Coturnix japonica: one gene and its partners. The protein of the gene in region 1 interacts with the protein of each later gene in a pairwise test. Links are inferred from orthologs where the notes say so. Each region holds a gene or a part of one and is shown in the gene's direction. Other genes may lie near its edges. The genes, in order: STK4, RASSF5 and SAV1.

Evidence for each region.
Region 2: the proteins of STK4 (region 1) and RASSF5 interact in binary tests that used the Homo sapiens proteins (3 or more experiments, as listed by UniProt). The link is inferred for Coturnix japonica from reciprocal best matches to the Homo sapiens genes STK4 and RASSF5.
Region 3: the proteins of STK4 (region 1) and SAV1 interact in binary tests that used the Homo sapiens proteins (3 or more experiments, as listed by UniProt). The link is inferred for Coturnix japonica from reciprocal best matches to the Homo sapiens genes STK4 and SAV1.

What each region holds. Positions count from the first base shown.
Region 1 is NC_029535.1:4,549,751-4,555,967, reverse strand, and holds the end of STK4 (serine/threonine-protein kinase 4), read left to right. Parts: intron 1-3,341; coding exon 3,342-3,500; 3' UTR 3,501-6,078; downstream 6,079-6,217. UniProt on the Homo sapiens protein: Stress-activated, pro-apoptotic kinase which, following caspase-cleavage, enters the nucleus and induces chromatin condensation followed by internucleosomal DNA fragmentation.
Region 2 is NC_029541.1:2,733,907-2,741,703, forward strand, and holds the start of RASSF5 (ras association domain-containing protein 5), read left to right. Parts: upstream 1-1,815; 5' UTR 1,816-1,850; coding exon 1,851-2,244; intron 2,245-6,658; coding exon 6,659-6,771; intron 6,772-7,786; exon of another isoform or gene 7,787-7,797. UniProt on the Homo sapiens protein: Potential tumor suppressor. Seems to be involved in lymphocyte adhesion by linking RAP1A activation upon T-cell receptor or chemokine stimulation to integrin activation.
Region 3 is NC_029520.1:52,522,634-52,530,104, reverse strand, and holds the start of SAV1 (protein salvador homolog 1), read left to right. Parts: upstream 1-2,353; 5' UTR 2,354-2,496; coding exon 2,497-2,590; intron 2,591-3,187; coding exon 3,188-3,634; intron 3,635-7,471. UniProt on the Homo sapiens protein: Regulator of STK3/MST2 and STK4/MST1 in the Hippo signaling pathway which plays a pivotal role in organ size control and tumor suppression by restricting proliferation and promoting apoptosis.

The sequences.
Region 1 (6,217 bases):
GCCAAATGGGACTGAGCCAGCATTTCAGGAAAAACGCTAAGGGAAAATGGCATGCTATTCCAACACCAATTTATATCAGCATTTTCAGGACCTAGACTCCAGAGCACTGCTTAGCATGAGAAATCACCCTCTTCATTTCATTTTGGCCTGAGAAATTGAATGCTTTTTTTGCTGTCTTAAAAAAAAAGAAAAGGTGCATAGTACTGTGCAGTGATCTGTTTCCTCTGGGTGTATTTGGTATGAGCGTTTAATTGATACTGCACTTAAACAGCCTTTCAGGTTGTAGAAGGCTAATTCCAGAATAACCCGAGTTCTTACAGCTCTCAGAGCTCGTGTCCATGGGCTGTGATCTCTGACAGCTCTCCCCAGCTCCTGGGCTGCTCTCACACGCAGCGCTGTGCTCCGAGGTGCTGCCACAAATAGCTGCATGTAGCACCCAATGAGTGTCTGCTGCCCAAAAATGAAACTCTACTTGAGGAGGTGATAAAAGAAGAGTTGGGAAGTTGAGGTGGATGTGCGTCAGATGGAGTTGCCGGATCCTGACTGCAAAGCGTAAGCATTGCCCTAGGATTTATTGGAAGGGAAATGTCCTGATAGCATTGCTGCTGTTGTTCCTTTAGCCTGGCTGTTGCTGTGCCTTGTTCCTTCCTGCTCTTTGTCCCTAATGATTTCATTACCACGTAGTTGGAGCAGCTCTCAGGTGGTTTGGTGTTATCCAGGTGGCTGCTGTTCCTAAGTGCCTTGTCTGATTTTGGAGTGTCTGGTCCTTTATATATAGCCTCGACTTCCATATTCCTCTGCAAATCAGAACCCTGCTGACACGTAATGCCTGTGGCACCCAGGAGCTGGCAAACATCCTTAGATACCCCGTGATCTCAGCAGGTTCCACAATGTCTGCATGTGCATGTGCATATGCTGCTTCTATCAAACTCATTTTAATCTGAAAGTTTATACTAATTCTGAGGTTTGTTATATCAGTAGTGGTGGTTTTTCATCATCTATAGCAGCAAACTCCTTTATGGCATGGGCTATTTAGCATGGCTTGGAGAACTTCTTTTGGATGGGCAGCCTTCTGAAGCCATGCTCAGCATTTCCTGCCTGCATGCAGAGCATTGTGCTCCTTGCTTTGAGTTTGTTTAGGGGCTTTGATCTCTGGGTGTGCAGTCAAGAATTGTTAAACAGCGGTGTAAAACCAGGCAGAAAGGGGAGGGGGAACAACAAAAGCTATGCTCGAGCGAGAATTATGTTTTTTCTTTAGTTCCCATCTAGCTGATGTCTTTTCCCTGTGTGGCGTGGGAAGCTGCAGTTTCATTATTTCTGTATTTCAGTCTTCAAACTCCCACTGCCCCTTATGAAGTGAGAAACGCTCAAGCCACTTTTTCAAAGGTCTATTTAAAACTTGGAAGTCGACATCAAGTTATGCTGAGCAGTGGGTGCCACCTGGAACGTTGGGGTTGAAGGCAGGCTGGTAGCTGGTGTTCGCTTCCTAAACAGCCCACAGCTGCTGGTGGTAATTCTGCAGGGCTGCTCAGATGTTTTCACCGTGAGGAAATAACCCCATCTCACTTATGGCATTTATATTCTGCTTGTGCTCCAGAAGGCAGCATCCGTCTGCAGATCTGTGAGGTGATAGGATAACTGCAGCCCCTCTCTGGTGATGGATGGGTTCACATTGGGCATCAGCTTCAGGAATTTTAAGAGAGTGTTGGAAAACAAAGCCGATGTGTTGTGCACAGTGGGGGAGATGCAAAGAAAAGGCTTTGCATTAAATCTCTGGATCAGATGCAGCATCAACAAGGGAAAGGGAAAAGCTGCAGGAGGGCAGTGCTTGGGGTTCCTGTGACCCCAGTGGAGAGGTGGCAGGAGTTTGTTCTCCGTTGGAATGTTACACTGGGAGGGAAGAGTGTTACAGCTGCTGGGAAATGGCTCCTTTCTGTCTGATGCTTATAATTCATGCAGCAAATGGACGTTCTTGGCAGTCTTTTTTGCAAGAGGAGCACTAGGAATGGGAGCTGAGGTGGGATGCTGGGCAGCACTGTATTTATGGCAGTGGTTTGGGCTGGCTCGAGGCAGCGGACTGCTATGCTGGGCCCCAAACTGACCGTGCTGCTGTCCCTGCTGCAGGAAAAGGGTCTGACATTCCTGCAGAGATCAAAATGTTCCCCTTTTGCTCACATTCAGTTGCATTCAGAATATTGTGTTGCAGCCACACTTGCCTGAACTGTAACAAATGTTAGGAGTGACTTTTTTTATGATATATTTTCTTTATATGCTGATTTGAAAGGATGGTGACTCGGGGAGGCAGTTTGCTGAGGTGAGCACTGTGCAGTGAATTTGTTATCAGTGTCTGAACTGCTTGCAGAGGGATGTCAGCTTGTGGATCTGTTACTTGGAGGAAGAAATGGTGCCTCACAACCTTGCATAGGAAGAAAGCTGTTATTCAAATAGTTAAAAGTTAGCTTGGTGCACATGGGACCTTGCTTGAACATTTCCCTGCTCTACCCCTTCTCCTTGTTGCAAGATACATTTCATTGTAAGACACCAGCCTTAGAACAAGTGTTTGATATCAGCCTTTACATTTGAAATGCAGTTCCTTTCTTTAAAAGGTTGTCATAGCTGTTTGATCACGGCGGATGAAAATAGATAGCTCTGACAAAGGCATTTGGGCTCTTTACCAGAGAAGAATCGCTGAGGAGTGAGGAGGGGATGGGGCTGAGCCCCAGGGCTGAGCCCAGCTCTAATTGCAGCTTATCAGCGCTGAGACTTCGCCCTGAGCATCATGGGATGCTCTGTCCTTGTCCTCTTCTTACTTTGCTCCTGGCGCTTCATTAAGAGAATGATGTTGCTATCCCTGAAGCCTAACCCTATGGAGACAGATGTGCCAGCCTTTAAAAACTTCATTTCCAGGAGAAAATGTGTCTGTGGGGCTGGTTTATAGGGCAAGGCCATGCAGCAAAGTGAAATGGAGACTGTCAGGTTCTAAGCACTCCTGTTTTTCCATTCAAAGATGCATGTGCAAGTGAGAAGATGACATGTGGGATTGGGGCCAGGCAGCCTTGCTCCCCTTCCCCTGCTCTGTGTGAGCACTGTCAGTGCATTGACTTCCCTCTCCTCCCTCCCAAACACCTCCCTTCTGCTTAACCCATGAGCAGCAGCCTGGTTCTGCATCACCTACCTGCACAGGTAATATACTTCCAGGTTTTTTTCATATTAATCATAAAGTCATTAAGGCTGGAGAGGACCACTAAGCTCTGATGTTCAACCTGTGTGTACAGAGGTACCTGCAGTTGTGTGCGCTTTCACTTCTGATGCCCATATCTTTTGTTTCCTCTCCCTGGCAGCTGAAGACGTGGAGTGTGGATGAGCTGCAGAGGAGGCTGTCAGCGCTGGACCCCATGATGGAGCAGGAGATTGAGGAGATCCGTCAGAAGTATCAGTCCAAGCGGCAGCCCATCCTCGATGCCATCGAAGCCAAGAAGCGGCGGCAGCAGAACTTCTGAGCCACGGGTAGAATGTCCTTCCAGCCTCCAGCAATCAGCTCCTTGCTTCTATGACTACTAAACAGGTTGATTTCTATTGAAATACGCTAGCAAAATAGAGGGCAATACTTCTGCTCATTTATTTTTCCATAGCACCTTTGTGAACTCAGGAATGCCATTGAATGGAGAATCCTCGTGGTGTGTTTTAATTTAGGCACATATTTAAAGCAGTATCCGAAGGAGTTTTGTTACTGTTTTTAGATGGATTATTTTTAAATCAGATGAGCGGATAGAAATAAACCGATGGAAGATGGCTCACTCTCCTTTCATATGAACCTTTCCATACTCTGTTTCCCTTAAGTTAATATGAATTGTGTATTTAACGGCTGCATCTGTTGTGGTTTATTTTTTGTTGTTTCTGTTGTCCTTTGTGAATGCACAGACTGTTTCAAGCTGATGACTGTATGGTTCTGCTGTTAAGGTACTGATAAGTTTTAGGTCGCTGAAGAGAGTAGATGAGAACACCTGCAAACTGGCCCAGCATTTTGGAAGACACTTAAATCTCATTTTTAAACAGCCTGTAATAAGCCCCATGCCTTACACTTTGTGCTTTGCGTGAGTGGGATTTCTTCAAGACCTTGGTTTTGTTCTTTGCTTATGTACGTTAGGAATTAATACCAGTAGGTGAAGTGTGTTGTGCCTCCAGAAGTTACGTTCTGTAATGTAAAACCCACATTGACTTAAGGCCGAAAGCCAATCGGTGGTCGGACCTGAAACAGAGCAGGTTCCCCTTCATCTGTCCCTTTGAAAATGTCCTCCTGCTGACAGCAGAGTGCTGGGAGGGCACAGTGTGTGAATGGGTGGAAGTCAGGTGAACCTCCCTCAGAATTTGGTACTTGTGCTGCGTCTGAGAGCACTGAAAGGGCTGTGCAGTTTGTGACATATTTCATACGCTCCATCATTTCAAATTGACCTCTTTAGGTGCTGGAATAAAACCTTCACAATCCTTCACCTTTCTGCCAGGCTTAGCACGTCAAAAAGTTAAACTGAAAGCAAACATTTGTTGGGGTATCAGAGATGTGTGTTGTCAGATGGAGTGGAGGCAGAGCTGATCCATAGAGGCCAATGGCTGATGTCCCAATGGCCGGTGTCTGGGAAGAGATTTGTTCTCTTCCAGTCCCTCCTTTCTCATTCAATTTCCTAACGTGGGTCGGTGGCTGAAGATGCCCTGCATGTACAATCACTGAGGATGATGCAGTTCGCTCCCAGTGGTGGAGCTGAGGAGCAGTGTGAGGTGAGCCCCAATCCGGGCACAGAGCGAGTAATGCCTCTGCATGGCTTTATGGTGAAATATTTGAATAGAACCATGTGTTCTTACCAATTTATTTTTGTTTTGCTCTGATGGAGAGAAGAGTTTCCATGTCATCCTCTGAAACAGGCCTTGGTACATCCCACAGGTAATTCAACTAAACAGCACTGTCTCCTGACTCAAATGCTGCTCATTCCATGCCTCGAGAGGCTCTTGTTCCCTGCTTGCAGCAGACTGCTGACTACTGTTAACAGATATACTCCATTGCTGTGAAAGGAATCAAGCCATTTGTACCCCTCTGCAGATCTGTCTGCGTCGGTTTGTCCCACTGTGACCAGCAGTGTGAGCAGCACTGTTCTGCCAAGCCTGCTTTGTACCTCTGGTGGGACACAGGGATGTGGGATGTGGCAAACCATGCACTGCTGGTGTGTAACACCGGTCAGGCAGATCCTGCTGGGAGTAGTTTTACCTCTGCACTGTGTAGGTAACTTTCTGGTCATCGTAGGGCATTAGAAAACCCAAGTTTTAAGTGAAGCACCACATCGTGGTGTGTGCTTTTGGAATATGCAACCTGTGACTGCTGTAACTGAATGTAAGCGCCATTGAGATGCTCTGCTTTGCTGGTGTGATTGTCTTAAAACACAGCAAATGAACCAAAATAAGTGAAACTGCTCCGACTGCCTTTGAACCTTTCTTACAAGCTTGCGATGGCCGAGACTTGATGGTATTTCTTGCACTTGGAGCTCGAATTATTTTCTCCTTCTCTGATTATCGAGTAGAGAGAAAGTAATTCCCTTTTTGATCCCCTTGTAGAGCATCGTACCCTCTCGGTTCTCAGAGTCCTACAGACTAAGACCAAGGCTCACACCCTCAAGGAGAGCTGTTCTGACGGGGTTTTTAAGCAAAACACTTGCTTAATTTTGAAGCTGCATTCAAGTGCTCCTTGGGCCCATCTGCATTGCTGAAAGCGTTCTGGACAAACCCTGATCTTTTCTTCTGAAACCCAGAGATACTGATGATGTCAGTCATACAAGACAATAATGTGAAGTTTGTAGCTTTAACTTTTTTTGTAACAAATTAGCAACACTGGCATAAAGTGCTGACTTGAAATGCTATTTTGTAAGATCTGCCTGTTTGTATATAATAGTGTTGGGTCCTTAGTTTATATATGTATGAAATAGTAACTTTTATTGCGTTCCTCTGAGTTTGATACAGGAGGTTGTGTTTGATCTTTCTCAACATTTCTTGCCTTATTTGTTCGAAGGGGCAAATAAACTGTCCTTATGGAGAGCTTCAGTGTCCTGACTGTTCTGTACGCATCCGCAGAGCTGGCAAGCAGTGACAGGAGGTGCTTTGGGACCAGGTGCAGGGCAATCCATCCCTTCCTATGCAGCAGGTGAGGTTCGAGTCGCGCTCCTAATCCTGGCTG
Region 2 (7,797 bases), on another chromosome or scaffold:
TCCCCTATATGCCTATAGGGAGGGATGTGATGCAGATCTTGCTGCCTGGCTCTCAGCATGGACACAGGGGGAGCAGGGAGCAGTGGCTCCAGTCTGTCCTGGCTTCATTTTCATGTAGGAACAGGAGAGTCAGGAGCTGCCCCTGTACAGGAAACCACTTTCTTAGTGGTATTTGGCACCAAATCTGTATATTCCCATTCATTTTAATTGTAAAAACCAACATCCCGACTGCCAAACCCAACCGCTTGCTGTGGAAGCAGTGGAGCAAAGCCACCTCTTAAAAGCTTCTCTCCTGCAAATTATTTCCTAGGGTTCTCCCAGCTTCACAACCAGCATTTCACTGAACCCAGGTCCATTGGAGCTGTGCTGATGTGGACCATGTGAGTGTTTGACCTGGAACGTGGTTGGCTTCAAAAGGAAGGATTTATTTCTTGGCGTGCACCAAAAGGAAGAGCTGCTAATAGCCCTTCAGCTGCCATAATGCAGCAGCTGCAAAGAGGACTCCCAGAATCTAAATGAAATAGGGATTTTCTTGCCTGTGTTCATCAGGATTTAGTTTTTCCCCCCCCCGAATTCTCAACCCTGCTCCTGTTTTCCTGCATTAGCTGAAAACCTGCTGAGGAAGCAGAGAATGGCAGTGAATCTGCTCTATCTCCCAGTCTGGAAGGAGAACAGATAAAACATCCCTCTATGGGGAAAACCATTTACCCAAGGACAAATCTGCTGCTGGTCTCATGCAGAAGTAGAGGATGCATGAAAGTGAATCAGGATCCTGAATGGGGAAAAAAAAGACCTTCCAATATGAGTCATGTTACTTAACAAACAAAAATGGGATTTTTCAAGCTGTATTATTGCTCCTTTCATTTTAGGCTCTTATTAGGGGTTGCCTATTGCAATCGTCTTTTGTAACTCAGAGCCAGATCCATCCTTCAATTTAAATTATTTCAAAGGGATTTAAGCATCTTTGGCTCATCCCATCCTCAGAAACTCGCTTTGTCTCTTTGTCATCAGGCCTTCAGAGCAGCACCTGATCCAAACACCCTCATCTCTGCACCCCAAAAGCATTGCAAATGGGCGTCCTCAGAGCTGCAGTGCTGGAACCTGTACAGAAGAGAGAGACTCCAGAATCTGCCCATCATATTTTCCCTTTCACTTCTCCCACAACCACAAAAGCCTCATCTGGGAGAGTTTAATTGCTTGGGCTCTCAGCCCTCAGCATCACTCCGGTGCCCTGCTGTCATTTCAGAGGGGAAAAGGTAATTTGTTCCAGCTGTCTGTGCAGCCTGGTCCATGCTCTGTGCAGGAGGGTCTGTGTCTTCAGCTCAGTGTATAAAGCAGCACCTGAGAGGTGATCGCCCTGATTCTGTAGGGGCAAAACCTGGGATGGGGATGGGGATGGGATGGGATAGAAGGGGATGGGATGGGATGGGATGGGATAGAAGGGGATGGGATGGGGATGGGGATGGGATGGGGATGGGGATGGGATGGGATGGGGTGCTTCTGCGCTCCTGCAGTGTCCACTGGGAACAGCTTTATGCTGCACGCTGCTCACCCCATTTGCACAGCCGGGATTAGGGTGATGTATGCGTGCAACGTCCCCGGTCCCGAGAGGAGGAGCGTCCCGTGGGGAGCGGTTACACAACAGTGTGGGTTGGGATTCCATGGGGAAATCCTAAAGGGGGGTGGAGAAGGGGGGAAGAAAGAGAGGGGGGGGGGGGGGGGTTTACGACTGCGATGGATCCTATGGGAGGAACCGCTGCTCCGGGAGGGTCACCACGAGAAGATCCCACGCGGGGCCGCTCCCCGCACCACCCCCCCCTATATCAGTGTCTCCTCCCCGGGGCGGCCCAATGCACCCGCCCTGCCCCGCTCCTCCCGGCCACACCGCCAGCCCGGAGCCCGCAGAGCGGCGTGCCGTGCCGTGCGGTGCCGTGCCGTGCCCACCCGTGGGGCCGAGCCCCTCGCCTGGCTCCATGCGGCGGGGTCCACCCGGCCCCGCTCCCCCCTGCCCGGGGAGCCCCGGCGGTGTCAGGGCAGCTCGACGGCTGCGGAGGCGCGGAGGGTCCCCTCGGCTTTTGCCCGACGTGCGCAACATCTTCTCGGCTCCTCGAGAAGCGGCGGAACGAGCCCACGGTCACGGTCACGGTCACGGTCACGGTCACCGCTTCGTCCCCCGCGTCCCTCGCTGCGGTTGGTGCGATCTGTGCGGAGCTGCCGTGCGGGATCGTGCCCTGCGCTGCGAATGTGAGTGCTGCTGCCGTCCCGCAGTTCCATCCCGCACCGCATCCATCACCCTGCCCTACTCCCCACCAACTCCATGCCCCCCTCACCCCCAGCCCCGTGTCCCCCCGCAGAGCTGTCCCCCGTGGGGTGCGGATCCGTGCGGGGGATGCGGGACTTGGGGTTTTTTTTTCCTCCGGGGAAGATGGGATTATCGGCTCATCGGGGCGGAATGGCTCGTGGTTGTGCCGCCTTACGGTGGAGCTAAATCCTTCCAGGAATAGCACGTTGGGAATATCTCCTTTAGGTTCTTTGGGCAGTGAGCAGTGGGAGCTCTCTAGGAAGACTCGCTGTGCTCCCATCGGGTGCATTAAGATTTAGTTCTGCAGGAAGGGTTGGCGTTCCCATCGTGTTTAAGGGGTTGGGAAGAGGGGGTGGGAGTGAATGGGGTGTCCTGGGTCAGACGCAGCCCATGTGCATCACTGTGTGAGGGGTGGCATAAGGACCAAGCAGTGAGTTACAGGCAGCAGAAGTCGAACCTGTTGCCTTGTTATTCCATATCTTCTGAATGGGGAAAGGGCTTTACATCCTATAGACTATGAGCAGTGCCTGGGGGCGGCGCTCCTCCTGCCCCAGCCCTGTGCCCAGCTGATGTTTTCAGGTAACTGAGGGAGCATCCCGATCTGACACGTTAATTGGCAGCACTTTGTGATGCTGTGAGTGCTATAAAAGGGGTGTTTTGAGGGATTTCTTTCCCAGGGCTCTTTTACGAGTGATATTGAAAGAAGCCTGCAGTGCTTGCTTCCCTTTTCGTTTCTTCTGAGAGCTGTCAGGCTGTGGGAATAGATCAGCCTCTAAAATTCCCCAAACAACGACGTGTTATCGCTGGGGGGAGGGAGAGAAACTTCAGTGGGACTCTTAGAACATCAGCACCCATCGCCCTCCCCCTCCTCCTGCAGCACATCCGTTTCTGTTGGGGTTTTTTTCTTGCTGTTTGTTCAGGTGGGGCGGAACGTAGATGTTGGAATGTGAAGGTGACAACGCAGCTTCCAAGTCTGTGCTGAGATTTATTTGGGTTCTAAGCAGGGATATCCGGGGTCGGGGGTGGTTCTGGAAGCAGAAACTCCTGCTCCTTCCCCTTATCCCCTGCATTATGGGCTGGGCTTTTCCCTCAGGCATTTTCCAGCCTTAGGTCCTCTCTCATCCTGGCAGCTCAGGGCATGACTTACAGCCCTTGTATTTCCTGGGCTGTGCTTATCAAACTGCCCTATGGGGTGAGCTGGGTGTGCCCTGCATGGGTTTGTCCCATAGACCCGATCCCTCCCCAGGACATCATGTCACCCCACCAGCACTCAATGAGGTTTCCTTGCAGGACAATGGCACAGCTCAGTCTGTGTTCCAGCACTGTTGGATCAGGACCCATTTCATTGAGAAGAAAGCTGGCACAACACACAGCACTTTGCTTTCTAGCTTGTAAACTGCAGCTCTGCCATTACAGGTTCTGGAGTGGCTGTTTAATTATCAGTGCTCAGTAGCAGGTGTGGATGCTCCCAGCTGGGCTCTGGGATGGGGTCTCTGCCCACACCTGCAGCACTTTAAGTGTGAGGTTTTCCCATGTCTCCTCCCTGCGTGTCCCTCCCATTTCTGCTCTCATCACTGTAAACAATAATTGCCACCAGGAGCCACAGTTTTGGGGCTTCCTTAGTCTGGTTTGGGCAGATTCTTGTTCTCCCAGCAGCAGAGGATGAGGGTGGTGGGGAAGGTGCAGGGCAGGGCACAGGGATCAGGTCTATGGGGCAGGGCACAGCAGGTATTGCTCACTGGGGGACTCAGCATTGGCAGGCTGCTATTCTGGGGGGGGCTCAGGTCCTTGGGTCACCCTTTGCTGCTGCCTTCCCATCCTGTGCTTATGGAGGAAGACACCAATGGAGGCTTTGGTTCACCAGGTGAGGTTTGGGTTGTTTCTTCCTTTCCTGGTCCTGTAGCTGGGCTTGGTGGTCTGGGTTGGGAAGAAGGGATGTGTGTGAGCTGCAGGGTTGGGGGATGCTGAGGGGTGAGGAAGGAATTACTTTGTATTATCCTGTGCTGCTTGGTGTGATGTTTGGATTTAGTGAGCTTTTATCTCTGCAAATTAATGGATGAAATGGGTAGAGTGTGTTGTGTGGGATGCTGGAAACCTGCCCCATGGGTGAGGGGATGGCTGTGATACAGAATGGGGAGGTTTTAAAGCCCTTTGTTGGGTGATGGGATGGATACGAGCATCATCCAGCACCTCACGTGGCTAGAAAGGATGGATGCTACAGGAAAACTGCAGCACTGATCCAAAAACCTGGCAGGGCTCATGTCAGTATTGCTCACATTGCTGATCTCAGTGTATTTCTTTAATGTTTCATTCAATATTGGAGGCTTTAGACAACCACAAGGGAACAGCAGTGAAGTGGGGATGTTAGAAAGGGACCTCCCAGCTCAGCCAGCTCCTGCTCTCCCTTCTAATCTCTTCCGTTGGGTCTTTTTATCTTATCAAGTAAGAAAAAGAAAAAGCCCCCGAAATAGAAACTTTTCCATGGTGAACAGGACGAGCCCTGAGGTGTGTTAAGCCCCGAGCTGTGCAATGGGCTCCACTGTGCTCTAAATATATAAATAAATGTATCCGTCAAATAGATTCACCGATGGCTCATGTCAATGCTTTATCTCCATGGGATAAGGCTGTGGAGGCAGGCGCTGCTCTGCGCAGTGCTGTGCTGCCTTGGGAGTGTTGGTCCCCCTGCTGAGGATGTCGGAGGGCAGAGCAGAGGCTGCTGTTTGCTTTGGGTTCATTGCAAAGAGAATCCGCAAAGTATTCAGGCACTTTTTCAAGTCCAAGTCTTGCTCCGAGGGACCGCAGAGGCTGAGCAGGGAGGGCTCATTGCTGAGAGGTAGGGGCTGTGTTTGGGTGTCTGTTGGTTGCTGTTGTTAATGAAGGGGGGTAATGGGGTTCCATAGAGCACAGCTGGAAGTGCTTCATGCCTCAGCAGGGAAGCTGCTCCATTAAGAAGCAATGGCTTTAGAGCATCACCCACCCAGTGGCTGCTTTGTGCTCCTGTCCCAGCTTGGTGCAATGGCTGGGGTTACCCTATGAAGCTGGACAGCTTTGAAGAGCATTATATCAAAGGATGCCAATGGCACACAGGGCTGGGCAGGGTGACTGCAAGCTGCGCTTAGGCAGATGGATGAGCACCCAGATGGGGTTCAGTTGCACATCCAATGTTATCACTCTGATAAGCTTTATCTGCATGCAGAGGGAAGTTCCTTTCAGCTACTAAAGTTTCTTGCTATGTTGTGATCAGACTCGAGGGTTTTCTTTACTTAAAGAAGCTGTTTCCAGCGGTGGCTTTGTTTGACTCGAATAGAAATGATCTCACGGCCGCAATGGAGGCATCCTGCCCCATCACGTGGCTGCTTCCCAGGGCTGTGCTGGGCTTCTAAAATTAGTGCTGCCCACCAGATAGTGGTGATTAGGGCTGCTAATAGGCGGCGGTGACTAAGGAGGTGTCATGCTGTAATCCTAAGGGGGAAATGCCTGGCTGTGATGGGGGTGGACTCAGTGATTTGTGGTCTGTATTTCACACTACAGACTGCTCCCCATTGTGGGTGCTCCATCATTCCCATCCTACATGCCGTGCATGGGGACATCTGAATGTGATGCCTTTGGGGGCTGCTGTGTTGGTTGCTCAGGTGGGGCTGCAATCACAGCCTGCTGTGCTTGGCACCTTGCAGCATAGAGCTGGCAAATGTCCCACTGAGCAGCTGCTCCAGCTGTTTGAAAGGTCATGCATTGCATTACCATGCAACTGCTTGGCTTATCCCTCATTAAAATTAAGAGGGGGGAAAAAAATCAATCAGAAGACCCCCTTGCTTGCCTCCCAGCCTTGAGACAACCAGCTGGAAATGGTAGGATGGCAGCTGGTGTCAATTGAATGCTAAGCAATCAATGGTTCCTCTGAGGGAGATACTCAGGCACTGCGTGAATGCTCTGCTCCTGCTTGGGAATTCCTTGATAGGGGCAGAGATCTGATTCTATGGGATGTCACTTTGCTTTCTGCAAGTCCAAGGGGTTCAAAAGCAATGACCCAAGTGCCCAAAAATAATAGAGGGAAAGGCAGGTTTTCTTGTAGAGGGGGCCTCTGCAATGCTGAGGGTGTTGGTTTTGGGGAGGAGTGGGTGCTGGGTGGCCAACAGGTCAATGACTGCACTGGAATTGTGGGTTGTGTAAGAAATAATTGATTGAATGCTGTTTGTGGGGCTGTTAAAAATTAAAAGGGCTGTTGGAGTGGGGGGAGCACTCAGAGGGGCTGGATGTGGCTGCAGACAGCACCCATGGGTGTTGGTAGAGCGCAATGGGGAGGACATGGGGCTTCTGGCTGCTCTCCCATCACAGCACGGCTCTGTTCTCTCCCAGATTGCAGGTACACGTGCCATCAGCAATGCTGCAGCCTCGTCCAGCTGGACTGCCGCCGGCCTGACCCCGGGCAGCTCTCTCCTGTGGGCACCATTGTGCTCCCCTGCAGCCAGGTATGCCCTCATGGTGGTCAGCCTCTTTCCCAAAGCCCATTTCTTTGCTCTTAGCAGGGTGAGATTTCATTGCAGAGGTCGGCCCGTGGCCCTAATTGATGCTTGCTAATAAATTCCCTGTGCATCTTGCTTCTGTGCCCATCATCTGAAAAGGGAATAGGTGCCAGAATACACTGGGGAAATGGAGAACAGCACACTGGAAGGGTGGGAAATGCCGTGGCTGGTGTAGTTGGCAGCCAGTAAATAGTATTATCAAATGTAAGCAAAGCAGGAGCATCGGAGAAAGTTAGTAAAGTCCTGTTGGCACTTCATACCAAGCATTAATAATATGGGCCTTGATCCAGCAAAGTACTTAAGTGTGTTGTGTTTAGGTCCCAGATTGCTCTCCCTGGGTGCAGTGCAGCCAGCACAGCCTCTGCCTGGCTCAACCCTGGGGCTACAGCACCTTGATGTGGGATTTCCTACAAGAACAAAGGATTTGAATCATATTTTCAGCCTTGATGTCACCAAAGGTGATCTCCAGCTGACCCAGCTCTGCACCTGACACAGCACTTGGTTCTGCTCATGCCCTGCACGCTTGATTTAAGCCTATTTCTCTTCTAATTATGACCCAGCGCTGCAGAGGAGAAGAAAAATGCATTCCCTGTCTGCAAAGCTTCTAAATATTTGCGGCTTGAGCATAACTAGAAAGCAGCCTGGAGCCTCCTTATCTACACTGGCGGATGGGAGCAGCCCCGAGCTGGGGTCTGTGTCAGGCTGAGTTGTGGAGCATGAGTTTCCATCCCCCTGCAGTGAGGGGGTTGCTGCAAACGGGGTCAAGGAGCTGGGCAGCATTTCCTTGGCTTGTACCTACACAGCTCCCAAAGCATCTGCAGAGCAGATGGACCTTCACTGCCCCCTGCACAGCACTGCAGGGCTTGTACCCCTTCCCCACCTCTTTTTGGATGCAGCGCATCTCTGCGAGCATCCCTCGCTCCAGCCTGTGTTTGGGATGCAGGGAAGGAGCAGCTCTCTTTCTAAGCTCCA
Region 3 (7,471 bases), on another chromosome or scaffold:
ATGTATACAATACCACTGAAAGGGGCCATACTGGCAGTACTTGAAACTGGACCTCTTTAAATATGCATGGATCGTGGATGCAGGAAGGGAAGAGGGGAGCTCTAGGGTAACCTATGGAAGGTGACTTTCACTCAGCAGTGTGGCTGTAAGGGATGTTACCTTTGTCTACAGGGTTACCTGCCACTCAGAGGGCTGCAGGACTGAGCTGCACTTGCTGGGTATGACCTCCTCTTCTCCTCCTCCATTGCCTTATGGAAACAGACATACCGTAGTGGCAGAATGTCTTGGAGGAACAAAAAAATTCCTTTTAAATGATTTCACTGCTCTGCTGTTGTAAATGCCCACACAGGCTATTTGGCTGCGTAATCTCAGAGATTTACATATCCTGATTTTCACAGGCTGCAAAAACATTTTGACAGATCTCACTGATGTGAGTTGGAGCTTGGTTTTCTAATTTGAAGTCAAGAGATCCATCTTCTTTGTATTATTAATCTGGAAGTGGTAACAGTTGTAATCATAGAACATTTGGGTTGGAAGGGACCCTTCAAGGCCCTCTGGTCCCACTCCCTGCAATGCACAGGGACACCCACAGCTCCATCCGTGCTCACAGCCCATCCCCTGACCCTGGTTGTCTGCAGGGATGGGGCAGCACCACCTCTCTGGGCAGCCTGTGCCAGTGCTTCATGTTACACCTCTGTGTGTGGGTACCAGGGCTGTGTGTTAGCAGTGTGGTAACTGAGCACACCTTGAACCATGCTTACACGAAGGAAATGAGCAAAGTTTGAAAATATTTCCTGGAAACACCACAGTTATGGTTCAGATGATCAGAACTGTGTTTGGAAATGCATTATTAGCTACTACATATTAACACCACTCCATATATTGCCCAGGGAGTGCTGGGCTCACCATCCCTGGGGGTGCTCCATTGCTGTGGGGATGTGGCACTGAGGGACGTGGGCAGTGGGCACAGTGGGGTGGGCTGGGTTGGGCTTGGGGGTCCTGGAGGGCTTTTCCAACCTGAATGGTTCTGTGATTCTACAAAAACAAGGGAGCCAAGCTTGATGTTAGCACTGGAATACAGGGGAGAAGCAGAGAAAAGGGATTCTATCTGTTCCTCTTCTCTCCCTATCCTGTCTCATCCACGTTTCTTTCTTCCAAACACCATCCTAACCACAGGAAAGGACTGGAGAATGATGGAGGAGAAACACAGTAGACAAAAAACCCAAATCTCATTGGAATGCTTGTGCGAATGAGTTCTCAGAAGTGCCTTTTGTCATTTCTATGCTGTACCGCTTTTGTTGCTGCAGGACAATTCAGGACAAACCCTTCCCAGGTGGGGGGAATGGTCACGGTGCTCCAACCAGTGTTGTGTTGCTTGTTGTGTCAGCTCAAGGGATAAGCAGCTCATCCCACAGTGTCAAGGCTACTGAAAATAAGCATAGAAACATGCAAACGTGCAAAGCATTTTGTGGTCTTTTGTGCATGAATGTGTCTCCTATGCACTACAGGCATTTTTCAGATACCAAAGTATTTAGCGATGTGGTAAGTCACTGAATTTCTGGGCCTCCTTGGTACAGCAGGGCTCGCCTGTTTGGCTATCAGTAACTGCACGGCCAGAAGGTGTTTTCAATGCTTTCAACTCTCATTTTATGAATCACTGTGAGAATAAAGGCATGTGGGTATCCAGGGCTGGAGTCTGGGGAGCAGGAGGGGGCAGAGGAATCGCACTCGTGTTAAATGGACGTGAGCTGAATTCACACCATTGAAGTACTACATGTCAATTTAGGATGGTATAAAAGCATGCTTTGCTACCTATATTCCCATTGCTACTTTGGGTACAAAGCAAATTGAATTAGTTCAGTTCTGGCTGGAAAAGGAAGGGTTGTAACATACTTTTAGCCAATGAATAGGCGAGGTGGAGCTGGGGACAGCCCAGCTCTGTCCATTACAACACAAACAGCATCACCAGCCCTCAGGTGTTCCATGCCTTCCTGCTGTGTGTGATGCTGGCACTGCTGACCTGTCTAATGCATAAATGGAAACAGTTGGTCTTTGGGTACGCTTGTTTTTGCTGCGCGTCGTCATGTGCTGACCTTACACCACCACGTGAAGGGGAAGGAGGGACCAAGCTGTGTGTTATTTATCATGAATGTAAAGAAATGAAATAAATCACTGTCAGATCCCTGCTTGTGGCTGGTTGTTTCCCATCCTTTATGGCAGGGCTGGGTGATGAATCTCGAACCAAGCAGAGTGCTGTACCGCCACACTCCTTCCGCTAGAGGGCGCTGTGACCGCGCCACCGCGACGCTCTGTCCCCGTCGTTCCTCCCGTCTCGTCTCCTCCCCAGGCGGGGCCGCCGCCCCACAACGCCCCGCGCCTAACGGCCCCGCCGCCCGCCCCACACACGGCCCCGCTGTGAGCCCGAGGGCGGCCCGGCCCTGCCCGAGCGGAGCCGGGTATGCGGGCGTTGGGAGCGGGCCGGGAGGAGGAGGTGGGATGTTGTCGAGGAAGAAAACGCGGGCGGAGCTGTCGAAGCCCGGCGAGGTGCAGGGGAAGTACGTGAAGAAGGAGACCAGCCCGCTGCTCCGCAGTGAGTGCCGTGCCGTGCCGTGCCGTGCCGTGCCGTGCCGTGCCGTGCCGTGGGCTCCACACGGCCGCGTTGTTCCCCCTCAGCCCGGCGCTCAGCTGCGCCCTCGCCCGGCCCGGCCCGCACCGAGCTCAGGGCTGGGGCTGGGCGGGGGGAGACACCGCGCTGCGGCCTGGGGGGGCTCTGTAATAAACGGGGGGGGTTGGGGCTCCGTGAGCCTTGAGCTCCCTCCCAAGCCGGGCCGCGCTTTGATTGTGTGATTGAGCTGGTGAGGTGTTGATAGGGCGGGATTCACGGGGCTTGGGCTGGATCTTGGTGTAACGGAGAGGTTTAGAGCCTGACTGATAAGGGGTGGGAGCTGTTTGTGTTGGCTTCTTTGGCTGTTAAACTGCGCTTCTTTGGCAATAGCTTCTGTTGCACATGGAGGGTGTGATGGCTTTTGTTGCTGCAGCCCTACTGTTACGCTGCTACACTGAGAGGTGCTTTAAGGGGGCTCTGGCATCAGAATGGAGTTACTTCCATGCTGTAAGTCAGACACTTTGGCTCGCCAAATACCATAAGTGCGTACAAAGCTCTCATTTCCTTTCTCTGCTGTACCAGATCTGATGCCTTCCTTTATCCGTCACGGTCCGACCATTCCAAGACGAACTGACATCTGCCCTCCCGACCCGAGTCCTTCTGCTTATGGCTCTGCTGGAGATGGAGCTGTTTCCAGAAACCAGAGTTTCCTTCGGACGCCGGTGCAGAGGGCGCCCCATGAAATAATGAGGCGTGAAAGCAACAGACTGTCTGCACCTTCCTACTTTGCTCGAAGTTTAGCTGACGTCGCTAGAGAATACGGCTCTTCCTCACAGTCCTTTCTGACAGAAACCAACTCGGTTATGGAAAATGGAGATGCCGGCACACGTTGTTACTATTATGATCACTTCTATGATGCCCAGAGGAGACGGCAATTGAATGATCGCTTGCATGAGGACTGCAGGTATTATGAGCACGGTGGGGAGCTTTTCCAGAGGATGGCTCACAACCATGGGAGGCGCATGTCAGGTGAGGATGGGTTCATTGTGCCCTTCACATATCACTGAACAGCTTTAGGTACATAGGATCCCAGAATGGCCTGGGTTGCAAAGGCCCACAGTGCTCATCCAGCTCCAACCCCTGCTGTGTGCAGCGTCACCAACCAGCAGCCCAGGCTGCCCAGAGCCACATCCAGCCTGGCCTTGAATGCCTGCAGGGATGGGGCATCCACAGCCTCCTTGGGCAACCTGTTCCAGTGCGTCACCACCCTCTGGGGGAAAAACTTCCTCCTAAGATCCAACCTGAACCTCCCCTGTCTCAGTTTCAAACCATTCCCCCTTGTCCTGTCACTGCCCACCCTCACAGTTGTTCCCCCTCCTGTTTATACACTCCCTTCAAGTATTGGATGCCCACTATGAGGTCTCCTTTCAGTCTTCTCTTCTCCAAGCTAAACAAGCCCAGAATATCATTGTGTCATTTGATTTTTGTTAATTTTATAATGAATTATTTATTGTGAAACAATGAGTAATGACTGTTTTGTGTAATCAGCAAATTGATGTGTAGTTAGTGCTAAAATTCACTTCCTAGTGTCTGAATTCTTTTTGGCTTATAATATTGTAATATTGTGAAGACAGGCTACAGGAGCTGGGTTTGTTCAGCATGGAGAAGAGAAGGCTGCGGGGTGACCTCAGTGCAGCCTGCCAGGACCTAAAGGGAGCCTACAGACAGGAGGGGAGACAACTCTTTACAAGGGCAGATAACAGCAGGACAAGGGGAAATGGTTTGGAGTTGAAGGAGGGAAGATTTAGATTGGATGTCAGGGGGAAGTTCTTTACTGTGAGAGCGGTGAGGTGCTGGAACAGCTGCCCAGAGAGGCTGTGGATGCCCCGTCCATCCCTGGAGCTGTTCAAGGCCAGGTTGGATGGGGCCCTGGGCAGCCTGGGCTGGTATCAATGTGGAGGTTGGTGACTCTGCCTGTGGTGGGGGGTTGGAGCTTCATGATCCTTGTGGTCCCTTCCAACCCAGGTCATTCCATGTCATTGAGGAAGAGTCATGATCACACACTTTCAGGGACCTGCTGCATTTTTCTTATGGAACAAGAGAATCAGAAAAGAAATCCCTTCAGTATTTGTTTTTGAAGTATTTGGTTATCTGTGATGACACAGAAGAGTCTTTTGTATGTCATGCTGCTGTCAATGTACTGAAAGAAGAAATGTGAGATGTCAGTGTTACCCATAGAACTGTGACCTTGCAGGCGGTGTTTGAGTGGTGTTTCTACTGCTGAAATGATGCTCAGGGAGGAGTTTGAGAGCAGCACTCCAGACCTTTAAATAATGCAGTGAAATATGCTGTTAGTTCATTGTTATTTGCAATCTGCTGGTAAAATTGTCAGCACTGAACTTGTGGGTGGAGCTAAAAAGCTGACAATGCTTTGCTGGTGGTGTTTGGTTTTTAATACAGAGATGTTCCATTGAAGCATGGCAGGAGAGCAGTGCTGGCATCGCTGCTGCCAGGCAGTGCAGATTGAGATGCTGATGTTTAAGACTTGCTGCTTCATCCTTAACTTTGCTCAGTGCTGCCTAATTACATCAGTTCTATTTAGACTGTGTGAAAACCCCTCCATCTCTGCTGGCTGCTCATCATTAAGCACGGATCTGTTTGTCTCCAGGCATTCTTAGCCTTTGGAAAACAAGGAGCTGCTGATGTGTGCTTGGTCTTTGTCACCTGTGTATGTTTGCAGTCAATAGCTTGGGCAGATTTGACATATTTCATAATGGATGGGCATTCAGTCTTGCTTATATGCAGGAAATAATCCAGAGGTGAACCTCTTGTCTGCCAACACGTTATCCTTTGTTTTCTTCTCTTTTTTCCTTTCATCTCAACACAGGATGTGGACTCTTAAGCTCCACCTGTAGTTTCACTGCAGTAAGAATGTTACCCTCTGTCCTCTGTATGTCCTCATGTCCTCTGAGTCCGTGGCACTTTGTATCAGTAGAATATGGTGTAGTCAAGAATAAGAAAGCCTCATATCTCCTTATTTCTTTCCCCTCGCTGTTAAGCTCAGTCTGATTTCAGCCACCCGTTGTTCTGCAGCCTTGTTTCTCTTGAGCAACACCAGTCCCTCTAATGGCCAGTTCCTCCCTCCTTATCTCCAGCACAGAGTCAGGCCTTCTGGATCCCTTGCCTCGTCTGGATCACCTTCCCTACGTGTTTCCATCCCTGTTTGTAAGCGTTTCATCTGAATGGAGCTCTTCACAAAGTACATCGCAATGTCTCCTCATTGACATCTTCACACTCAGATTGTTCAGCAAAGTATTCAAGCAAATATCTTGATTTTTTCCAAGAGGTGACAATGTGGCATTGCATTGGTGTTCCTCCTTCAAGTCATGTTCTCTCTGATTTGTTTCTCCATCAGATTTGTTTTAATCACTAACTAGTGTGAGTGTTGTTCCTCAGAAGTGCCCTCAGCTGCTTCCCAGGGCTGTTTGGTTACCTCTATGGCATTTCTTGATATATATCAATATATTTAATTTTATTTCTCTAAGTGTTGGTTTCAAACTGTATTCTAAGAGTCTTTACCCATCTTCCCTCGCCATCTCTGTCCTTTCTTCTAGGTGAAAGGTTTGGGGAGGTCTGTGGTTGAAGTTCTGTCTACATTATAGATTGGAACTAACTTGTAAGCAAGACCTGAGTTTCTGTGTACCTGTTTGAGTGGTAAGCGGAGCACTTCTTACATGTGAATGGCAGTTCTGAGCTTGAAATCCCAGTGTACTCTGGGGAGAAGCCATACAGCCAGAGGTGATGCTGCTACAGAAGCAGAGCTGCCTTTCCAGCAACATATGGTTTGCTTTTTGGCCTGCTTCTCATAGTAGTTCTCTGTGTGATCAGGTGCTGGCTTCCTATTTCCCTGAGCCCATCTTCCTGCCTTCTCTGGCTCTTGTTTGAGCAGACACAGGCCTTGTGGCAGCAGAACTTGTGGGGCAGAGGGTGGTTCACTGCCTGTTTGTCATCCTGCTGTGGGCAGCTTCATTAGTACCAGCCTTAAAGCATTAAAAAACTTTCACCTTTACCCCATGATACAAATCCGTTTGTATTTGCTGCTGCAATCATGAAGGAATTCGAGTGGGAGGAACTCTTTAAAAAGCACAGCAAGGCAAAACACTGACAGGGTGAGCAGCAAAATACGTTTATACCTCTATGAAAACTCTTTCCCTTTGTCAGGTCTGGGTATTCAGGTTGGTGGTGGTTTAATATTTGTTGTTTGTTTGTTCTTTTTACCCAAAGTGCAGTGTTTTCAAGAAACTTCAGTGTTGGTATTTTGTCATTGGAATGCAAACAAAACCAGTGGTGTAACCATGGCCAGGGCCTAAAATGCTTTCCATGGCCCCAGCATGGCTAAAGGTCAGGCAGCAGCCCTCATGTTCCTTCTCATTGGAAGTAAAGGGCTGAGTTGCTTAATCCTAATGAGGGATGGAGCTGCCACGTGAACACAGCTATTAGCTTGTCTTCATAAAGCTACCAAGTGGGTGAGCACTCCAACAAGGGGAGGAACATGGAGGCTGTGTAATCCAGAGCACACCAAGGCCAGAAATGGGTTTGAAGGTGAGCTGATGTCTTCTGCAGGGCAGAACTCAGGAGGAACTTCCTGCATTTACTGCTTCTCTTCGTTGTGTTGCTTTGAAACCTGCCCACTGCATTGGTGGGGACTTGGATCTGTCACTGGAATCACAGCCCAGCCAGTTCTTAATCTGCCATTCTGCAGGTAACCAGTACTTACACAGGTGGCTTCCTCTGTCTGCTGCACTGTGGGCAGTGTGTGCACTGATAGAAAGGGCCATTCCTGTGGTCCACCAACAAGAGACTGGA